Linked DNA regions of Saccharomyces cerevisiae S288C. Changing the gene in region 2 together with the main gene of any one other region gives a genetic interaction. Each region holds a gene or a part of one and is shown on either strand. Other genes may lie near its edges. The genes, in order: GDI1, MSO1 and RHO3.

Evidence for each region.
Region 1: mutations in MSO1 (region 2) and GDI1 together harm fitness more than expected from each alone (negative genetic interaction), as found in Saccharomyces cerevisiae (2 studies listed by BioGRID).
Region 3: mutations in MSO1 (region 2) and RHO3 together harm fitness more than expected from each alone (negative genetic interaction), as found in Saccharomyces cerevisiae (2 studies listed by BioGRID).

The regions. Positions count from the first base shown.
Region 1 is NC_001137.3:437,612-441,499, forward strand, and holds GDI1 (Gdi1p), read left to right. Parts: upstream 1-2,004; coding exon 2,005-3,360; downstream 3,361-3,888. Other genes in the region: YER134C (Mg-dependent acid phosphatase), read right to left, coding at 1-192; YER135C (uncharacterized protein), read right to left, coding at 341-733; YER137C (uncharacterized protein), read right to left, coding at 3,762-3,888. UniProt on the Saccharomyces cerevisiae protein: Regulates the GDP/GTP exchange reaction of SEC4 by inhibiting the dissociation of GDP from it, and the subsequent binding of GTP to SEC4. Plays an essential role in the yeast secretory pathway.
Region 2 is NC_001146.8:712,382-715,438, reverse strand, and holds MSO1 (Mso1p), read left to right. Parts: upstream 1-1,783; coding exon 1,784-2,416; downstream 2,417-3,057. Other genes in the region: LYS9 (saccharopine dehydrogenase (NADP+, L-glutamate-forming)), read left to right, coding at 51-1,391; YNR048W (putative aminophospholipid translocase regulatory protein), read right to left, coding at 2,628-3,057. UniProt on the Saccharomyces cerevisiae protein: Involved in secretion. Component of the secretory vesicle docking complex.
Region 3 is NC_001141.2:138,087-141,027, forward strand, and holds RHO3 (Rho family GTPase RHO3), read left to right. Parts: upstream 1-1,665; coding exon 1,666-2,361; downstream 2,362-2,941. Other genes in the region: pheromone-regulated protein PRM5, read right to left, coding at 2,527-2,941. UniProt on the Saccharomyces cerevisiae protein: Plays an important role in cell growth. Required to keep the uninucleated state. Modulates morphogenesis during bud growth via directing organization of the actin cytoskeleton and the position of the secretory machinery for exocytosis.

The DNA.
Region 1 (3,888 bases), on a different chromosome or scaffold from region 2:
TTTAAGATCACCTAGTATACGTGGGATATCTTTGTAGATTGTGAGCTCGTAACCATCTCTACATATAATTGTGAGAACTTCGCCATTACTACTTTTAACTGGCTTAAAGGGACCGTGCAAATGGGTATCACAATAGCAGGGCCAAATGGTGTAGTCCAAATCGAAGGCGGCCACGTCAGGGTATCCAGTCATAATAAACGCGTTGAGACTATTTTGGAGCAGGATTTGTAACAAAATTGTTCTCTTTGTAAGTTTAAGGACAAAAATGCTTGTTTCTCGAGAAGGTCTCCTTTTCGGCAGGTCCTTCTTCTAGTGCGTGAAAAATATTCTACTCAATCCCTTAGTATTCTTTGTAAACAATACACTTTAAAGAAATATGAATGCTTATCTGCTTTTCAACAATCATTTTAGAGTTCTTATTCACTGAGGTGCGAATGGGTACGAAATTTGTTTCAGGAGAATTTAGCTTGTTGCACACAAATTTCTGCCATTTATATCTGCAAGATCTGTTTCCCTCTTTCCAACTAGCGAGGCATATTAGAAAAAGAGTGAATAGTAACTTGTGTAAGTTTTGATGTAACGGTAGTATAGAGTACCTATAATATTCGCCGATTATATTCTCAAAACTTGTAAATAACGCCATGTCACCGTATGGAGAAAGTGCTAACCAAATTGTAATATCGACCAAGACCTTTTTCTGTGAATTATGTAAGTTTCTTAAAGTCCATGTCATGCTTGAAAGATTTTAATCAACCTTGCATTTGTGGTCGTTAAACTCAAAGGGGATATTCAAACGACAATCGACAACTAACTTCGAATAAACTAAGATTCACTTTATTGGGATATAATCAATTACCCTTCATTAAGTGGTGTATATGTTCCTGACGTATTGTCATTTTCGGGATAAGAGGTTTGATGACTATTTCTCGATTTTCATGTCATCCTCTTTACACCGTACGTGATAATACACTAATTACACGATATAACTGAGCAATGATATTTTAGAGCTTCATCTCCACAATTTCATGTGTAAATCTTAAGAATTGTAGATATATTCTATTTTTTAATGAAACTTTTTCAACAAATTAGGTTTCGTGGTCTAGTCGGTTATGGCATCTGCTTAACACGCAGAACGTCCCCAGTTCGATCCTGGGCGAAATCAATTTTTTTTTTCGAAAACGTTATAATTTACGTTAATTTACAAAGGGCATTCCTTTCATACTAAGCAATGTTTACTTCCAATCTCTTGAGACATCTTCGAAACTAGTTGAAAAGAGACAAATCCGCTTAATAACTAATAGTTACAAGAATGGCCAATCAAACTCTTGCCAAGCGATACAAGCTTTACAATCCTGTAACAAAAACATACTTTTAGCGGTTCCGACGGTATTCTTCTTTTTCTCCATATATTTTGCTTATGTTGGCTACTTTAAAATAATTACCGCTTCCCCCACCAGAAACTAAACATGAGCTAAAGGCGCAAAACTTAAAAAATTACATAGCCAAGACTGTTTTCAAGAAAAAAATATCAGACCACATTTGATAAAGTACATACCTCTGTTAACTCCCGTAATACACCCATATTCTTGTACTTTCTACAATCTATCACTCAAACTTCTCTATTATCCAACATCTGCTGTTGCATAGTAAAGTAGGCCGTAAACGCTCAAAACCGTTATCTTTAGGTTACCCTTATGTTTGAATCGTTTATCTCACATTGGCGGTGTTTTCCCCTCTCCTGTGGGCTCCAAAATCTTGGCCGTGGGAAGCTTCAGCGAGGGATTGTAGATGTAGTTTCAACACGTCGGCTGATTTATCCCGATTTTGTTAGTAGAAAAGGTTCTACTTCATTCTTGCTTGAGACGTCGTCCCATCAAATTTCTAACATAGTCTTTTTTCAAGGAAGGATATTTTTCAAAGCAGGACTGCAATTAGTCTTTTCCTTTTCTTTACTCCCCTTCCATCATAACTGTTAGTGAATAACCACTTATATAGCATAACACAATGGATCAAGAAACAATAGACACTGACTACGACGTGATTGTCTTAGGTACCGGTATTACCGAATGTATCTTATCTGGTTTACTCTCTGTAGATGGAAAAAAGGTATTACATATTGACAAGCAAGACCATTATGGTGGCGAAGCTGCTTCTGTGACCTTATCTCAATTGTATGAAAAATTTAAACAAAATCCGATCAGTAAAGAGGAACGGGAGTCCAAGTTTGGTAAAGATAGAGATTGGAATGTCGACTTAATTCCTAAATTCCTGATGGCCAATGGTGAGCTGACAAATATTTTAATACATACCGATGTGACCAGATATGTCGATTTCAAGCAAGTTTCTGGCTCCTACGTTTTTAAGCAAGGCAAAATTTACAAAGTGCCAGCTAATGAAATAGAAGCCATTTCATCGCCATTGATGGGTATTTTTGAAAAACGTAGAATGAAGAAATTTTTAGAATGGATTAGCTCTTACAAAGAAGATGACTTGTCCACTCATCAAGGATTAGACTTAGACAAGAATACCATGGATGAAGTGTATTATAAATTTGGGTTAGGCAATTCTACCAAAGAATTCATCGGTCATGCAATGGCTTTATGGACCAATGATGACTACTTACAACAACCTGCTAGGCCATCGTTTGAGAGGATTTTGTTATATTGCCAAAGTGTTGCCCGTTACGGTAAATCACCTTATTTGTATCCTATGTATGGGTTAGGCGAACTTCCACAAGGATTTGCTCGTTTGTCGGCTATTTACGGTGGTACTTACATGCTAGACACTCCAATTGATGAAGTATTGTATAAAAAAGACACAGGAAAATTTGAAGGGGTCAAGACTAAGCTGGGAACTTTCAAGGCCCCATTGGTTATTGCTGATCCAACTTATTTTCCCGAAAAATGTAAATCTACTGGTCAAAGAGTTATTAGAGCCATCTGTATTCTTAACCATCCAGTTCCGAACACCAGTAACGCGGATTCTTTACAAATTATTATCCCACAAAGCCAACTGGGAAGGAAAAGCGATATATACGTTGCGATTGTTTCAGATGCGCATAACGTTTGCTCCAAGGGTCACTATTTAGCAATTATTTCTACAATCATTGAAACTGATAAACCACATATAGAATTAGAGCCTGCTTTCAAACTTCTGGGACCAATCGAAGAAAAATTCATGGGAATTGCCGAATTATTTGAACCAAGAGAAGACGGCTCTAAGGATAACATTTACTTATCCAGATCATACGACGCATCCTCTCATTTCGAATCCATGACTGACGATGTTAAAGATATTTACTTCAGAGTAACAGGCCACCCATTAGTTCTAAAACAAAGACAAGAACAAGAAAAGCAGTAAATTCATACCTTTACGACTAAAGCAGCAATTGGAGGGTAAACTTATTTTTTCCGATAATGTTCTTGGCAAATGAGTTACCAATAAATGACATGAATTACAGAAAACAAGAAAATATTTGCCAAAAAAAAACCAATACAAAAATATAGGGGAAAAGATTATCCTTTATTCCTTTCTCATTCCACTTTTTTTTTTTGTTATATGCGTATTCTGATTGATTCATAACTAAGTATCTTTCCTTTTCTTTTCTTTCAATTTCTTTTTTCCATATATAAATACATAAATTTACATACCTTATGTAGTATAATATATGGAAGAATGCTACTGAACACATCAGTACACATGCTATGTACTTACAATCTTAGTAAGGTAGATGTAGGTCTAATGCTTCGATGATCCCTTCATTATTTCTTGGGTATAACTGTCAGTCTCGCACCGCAGTGTGCCCTTGTGTGGCCAGCCTCGTGACAAAATGAACATTTTATCTTATTTTTTTTCTTTTTACTACTCTTTTTGCTGGTTACTCCCTGA
Region 2 (3,057 bases):
GAAAACTTATCAGGACAATTGAGTTATATTAACGTATTATATATTTTAATATGGGAAAGAACGTTTTGTTGCTAGGATCTGGTTTTGTTGCACAACCTGTTATCGACACATTGGCTGCTAATGATGACATCAATGTCACTGTCGCATGTAGAACATTAGCCAATGCGCAAGCATTGGCCAAGCCCTCTGGATCCAAGGCTATTTCATTGGATGTTACCGATGACAGTGCCTTAGACAAAGTTCTGGCTGATAACGATGTTGTCATCTCTTTGATTCCATACACCTTCCATCCAAATGTGGTAAAGAGCGCCATCAGAACAAAGACCGATGTCGTCACTTCCTCTTACATCTCACCTGCCTTAAGAGAATTGGAACCAGAAATCGTAAAGGCAGGTATTACAGTTATGAACGAAATTGGGTTGGATCCAGGTATCGACCACTTGTATGCGGTCAAGACTATTGATGAAGTTCACAGAGCTGGTGGTAAGCTAAAGTCATTCTTGTCATACTGTGGTGGTTTACCAGCTCCTGAAGACTCTGATAATCCATTAGGATACAAATTTTCATGGTCCTCCAGAGGTGTGCTACTGGCTTTAAGAAACTCTGCTAAATACTGGAAAGACGGAAAGATTGAAACTGTTTCTTCCGAAGACTTAATGGCCACTGCTAAGCCTTACTTCATCTACCCAGGTTATGCATTCGTTTGCTACCCAAATAGAGACTCTACCCTTTTCAAGGATCTTTATCATATTCCAGAAGCCGAAACGGTCATTAGAGGTACTTTGAGATATCAAGGTTTCCCAGAATTTGTTAAGGCTTTAGTTGACATGGGTATGTTGAAGGATGATGCTAACGAAATCTTCAGCAAGCCAATTGCCTGGAACGAAGCACTAAAACAATATTTAGGTGCCAAGTCTACTTCTAAAGAAGATTTGATTGCTTCCATTGACTCAAAGGCTACTTGGAAAGATGATGAAGATAGAGAAAGAATCCTTTCCGGGTTTGCTTGGTTAGGCTTGTTCTCTGACGCAAAGATCACACCAAGAGGTAATGCTTTAGACACTCTATGTGCACGTTTAGAAGAACTAATGCAATATGAAGACAATGAAAGAGATATGGTTGTACTACAACACAAATTCGGTATTGAATGGGCTGATGGAACTACCGAAACAAGAACATCCACTTTAGTTGACTATGGTAAGGTTGGTGGTTACAGTTCTATGGCCGCTACTGTTGGTTATCCAGTTGCCATTGCAACGAAATTCGTCTTAGATGGTACAATCAAGGGACCAGGCTTACTAGCGCCATACTCACCAGAGATTAATGATCCAATCATGAAAGAACTAAAGGACAAGTACGGCATCTATCTAAAGGAAAAGACAGTGGCTTAAATAAGAAGAAATGTATCAAAAGGTTTATCATACGTAACAGTAACGGCACTTTATAAATCTTTCTTTAGTATTACTTATACTTTCATAAGGAAACGTAAAAAAAAAAAAACCGGAAAGAGGGACAAAATGGACTAGAACGTAATTGAGAGTGTAGTTCCTGAAGCTTGAACCGCTAGTAAGTCGTCTACCTTTAGTCTAAAAAGTATTGGCTATTGCATTTTATAGTCTTGCTTCTGATCAGAACGTATTAAATGAGCTCGTAAAGACTCTTAGGAGTTTTTCACTTTTAGAGATTAATACTATTAGGAAAGGTGCAAAAAAATAAAACGCCAACTAACTATTAGACGCTAGGCCCTAATACCAACTACCAGTATAACTAAGATTTCACGCATATGATGAGTCAAGTATCGCATTCCCAAGAAGGATCCGGGCGATTTTGGAACAAGTTTAAGTCGTCAACCAAATCGTTATCTACATCGTTGGCACATTTATCCATTAAAGCAGAAAAAGATGGTGATACTGTAAATACTACATTGGTCCATAAAGGGCTTGTGAAATTCTATGAAAATCAGCATCCTTTCCAGGGGTTCCCAGGATGGTTGGGGGAGAAGGAAGATTTACCGAACGAACGTAAAATATTAGATACTCAAGTGAAGCATGATATGAAGAAGCAAAACTCGCGTCATTTCTCGCCATCCTTTTCTAACAGAAGGAAGGCTTCTTCAGAAGATCCTATGGGTACACCTTCTTCAAACGGGAACACACCGGAGTACACGCCTGCGAGTAAATCGTTTCAAGATATATACAATAATCATACAAGCTCCTCTAGCGCGACACCGAGAAGAGCTTCATCACGGCCGACTAGACCTTCAGCAGGCCAAGAATTCAGGGCAAGTCTCGGTCGAAGTAAAACGTCGAACAGTTTCAACACCTCCAGCACGCCAACGCCGCCACCAGACGCAAGTAGTGGAGTAATGGCAATGAAGGACAGACTAAAGAGACGCAATAACGATTATGGATTTTAAATAGCACTATACCTTGCTGAAATAAAGCGAAAAGAACATTTAATGAATATATAGGTATCGTATATGTACTGAATAAAGTGTTTGATACAGAATGCAAGGAGATAATATAGTATGGTATATAACCTCGTCCTTATTTTGAATATACATGAAATTACAACGCTTCCCTAGAGACCGAATCAAACGCAGGGATTTTATAGTAAATGATAATCAATCATAAAATTTCTCTCAATGGAATACTAACGACACTACTCTCATCGAATGGGGTATCGCTGTTCTCAAAATTTAGGTAGCTATGATCATGCATAGGTCTTGGTTTGAAGATGACTTTTATCAGGAATAGTATGGCGAAAAGAGTTGCAATCCCGGCAACAATCAAATAAACAATCCCTAATGCCTCGTTTCCAGCACCGATAATACTGTTTGTGGTTAATACAAAAGATTTTGTTCCATAGAAAGATCTTACTGGGTAGTTGAGTTCTATATCAGCAATGTAAATACCCTTACCTAACCCATTGGTCTCATTTTTCATTGCTAGCTTATAGAAGTTGGGCAATGCAGCAGTTCTCATCCATATTTTGAACTGTTCCCAGTTTTGTAGGTCTGGAATGTTATCGTCAGTGTAGCCATTGGGAAATAACTTG
Region 3 (2,941 bases), on a different chromosome or scaffold from region 2:
CTTTAATTTGAACAAGAAAACAAGACTATAAAAAAAAATACTCTTTAGGATGCAGACATAAAAGAACAATACGACCGTCCCTTATTTATATATAGTCCATAGAAATAATCTCAACCAATATAATATGCAAGAAAATAACGAAGTAAGGAACAAGCACAATGGTACGCCCGGTCTTGAAAAAGTTTAAAACAGTACTCGACCCTAGGCGCTAGGGTGGGTGACGCATTTTAACTTTGCAACAGAATGCCATATGCGGTGTTAACCTCACAAGATCGGCTCTACTATCTGCAAGCTGCGGCAAATACCAGAGAAAATTCCATTCCCGTCGACAAAATTTAACCGACCCCCCCCCCCCCCAATTTACGTTTATCAGCTAATCCAAATGTGGAAGGGCAACATTCTCGACGACTCCTTTTTCCGTAATTTAAGTTTGCCCAGGCAAAATCTTATACTTGTTTTCGTAAGAGAAAGATGCGCAGATCCTTTAAGGTTACCTTCAAGCAAATCCAGAAGCACAAATGGCAGGGGAGAAAAGACATGAAGCAGGAGTAGTCAACCGCAAAAACCCCCGCGGGCTTGTTGTTCTGCACATTTTTGATGTGTTTGTTCCTAAGACAAAGTCCTAACTTAGGGTAGTAAGTGACTATATTCTGCACGCTCTTAAAGCAGCCACCTCGTTTAATTTTGCATGCTTATATAAGCTTATAAACGAAGTACCTGAGGACCTGCATCGGCCGGCCCATGTGAAAAGGAAGTATTTACTTTTTCTTCTTCTTTACTATGGAAATAGCTGGAATCCGACTATGCATATGCGTAAGAAAAGAAAATGAAGGAGTTTTCACAGGAAAGCACACTTGCATACTGGGCACAAGTGAGGAGAGGGGCCTGTAATGCTTCTGTGTTTAAAAGACTCCGAAATTAGTCAACGCAGATTTGCAGATGCACGCAAGAATACATAATCAATCACAGTAAGCACATCTCCCCAAGGAAAGAGTAAATGCCTTCGAGCCAGCATTGTGGTCATGCGAGATGTCTAAGAAAAATACTTCGATAAGCACGAGGAAATGTAATATGTCTATCTACCTTATTTTTTTTACAATAAACATATAATAAATCCCTTATCTGGTCACGTGAATTAAACTTCGGGTGTGTTGTAAGAATGGAAGGAGTAAGCGAAACTCAAATTGAGGCCACTTACCACTTCCGGTCGAGCCCGGCCCAGAACCAGTCGTCGGCCAACTTTTTTCTTGGAACAGCGTTACCGCACCTACGCGAGAAATAGTAGATTATAGATAAGAAATACAAGGAGAGGGGTGTGGATGAGCTTTTTTACAAAATAGTGTAAGGCGTCCGGGAAACCCCAAGAACGTTTTTTGACATCCACTAACAGGATTACCCGTCATAGATATACTGGTGCCATTACCCGTTAATGGCATCTTGTATATTTCTTTTATCTTTCTTAACATTCCTGAAAATTGGTAAACAGTAAAAAGAAAAGAAAAAGAAAGAAAAAACATGTATTATTTTGAATTTACTGGAAAATAGGCAACCATTGATTTTCGTTTTTTTATCGTTCTCATCTCTAGCTCTGGTCAGCATTTTTTACTTTATAACAACAAGTTTTTCATTAAAATCCATAGTAGCACAAGGTAAAGGGAAACAAACATGTCATTTCTATGTGGGTCAGCTTCAACGTCAAATAAACCGATCGAAAGAAAGATCGTTATTTTGGGCGACGGTGCCTGTGGTAAAACTTCGTTGCTGAATGTTTTCACCAGAGGTTATTTTCCCGAAGTTTATGAGCCTACTGTTTTTGAAAACTATATCCATGATATTTTCGTTGACAGTAAACATATCACGCTATCGTTGTGGGATACTGCGGGCCAAGAGGAATTTGACAGGTTACGATCCTTGTCTTATTCAGATACGCAATGTATAATGTTATGTTTCAGTATTGATTCACGCGATTCTTTAGAAAATGTCCAAAATAAATGGGTGGGTGAAATCACTGATCATTGTGAAGGCGTCAAGTTAGTCTTAGTTGCACTAAAGTGTGACTTAAGAAACAATGAAAATGAATCTAACGCAATCACACCGAACAATATCCAACAGGATAACAGCGTTTCTAACGACAACGGAAATAACATAAATAGCACCTCAAACGGCAAAAACCTGATAAGTTATGAAGAAGGTCTAGCTATGGCTAAAAAGATCGGTGCGCTACGTTATTTGGAATGTAGCGCTAAGCTGAATAAAGGTGTCAACGAAGCTTTCACAGAAGCCGCAAGAGTTGCTTTAACCGCGGGCCCAGTAGCAACCGAAGTGAAAAGTGACAGTGGATCCAGCTGTACCATTATGTAATATAATAAGACACGGACGCACACACAAAAGAATAGAACCCAAAAAGAGAGACTAAACAAATAATATAATAAGTTATAGAAGTTAATAATACTCCTACTATTTTATATTTTTTATGTAATTACTACCACTGCTTAAAAAAAATATTGCAAAATATCATAAAAGTTTTTACTCATCCTGTTCTTTCCCCTCCAGCATGTGCTCGAGATAAGTCGAAGGTGTAGGTTTTCTTTTGGACTGTACGACCAACAAATTACCCTTACTATGGTTACGATTTACGCTACCATCACTTTCTGGTGAATTAAGCAGCTTTCGACTTGGTGAAGATGCAATTTTTGCGGGTTTCCTTATGTCTTCACCCACCTCCTTTTCATTACCGTTATCGAGCGACGATGCGGATGATGAAGAGATTGTAGACACCAGAGAATTTGTAGATACATTATCACTTGTCATAATCACAGGTTTCTGTAATAATCTAGGGCTTTCTTGGTAAAGTTTAGATAGCCTTGTTTTGTATAAGATATCACCTGTTGGTGAAATGAAAAGTGAATTTCTGTTGGATTCGGATGCAAGAGAGAATAGC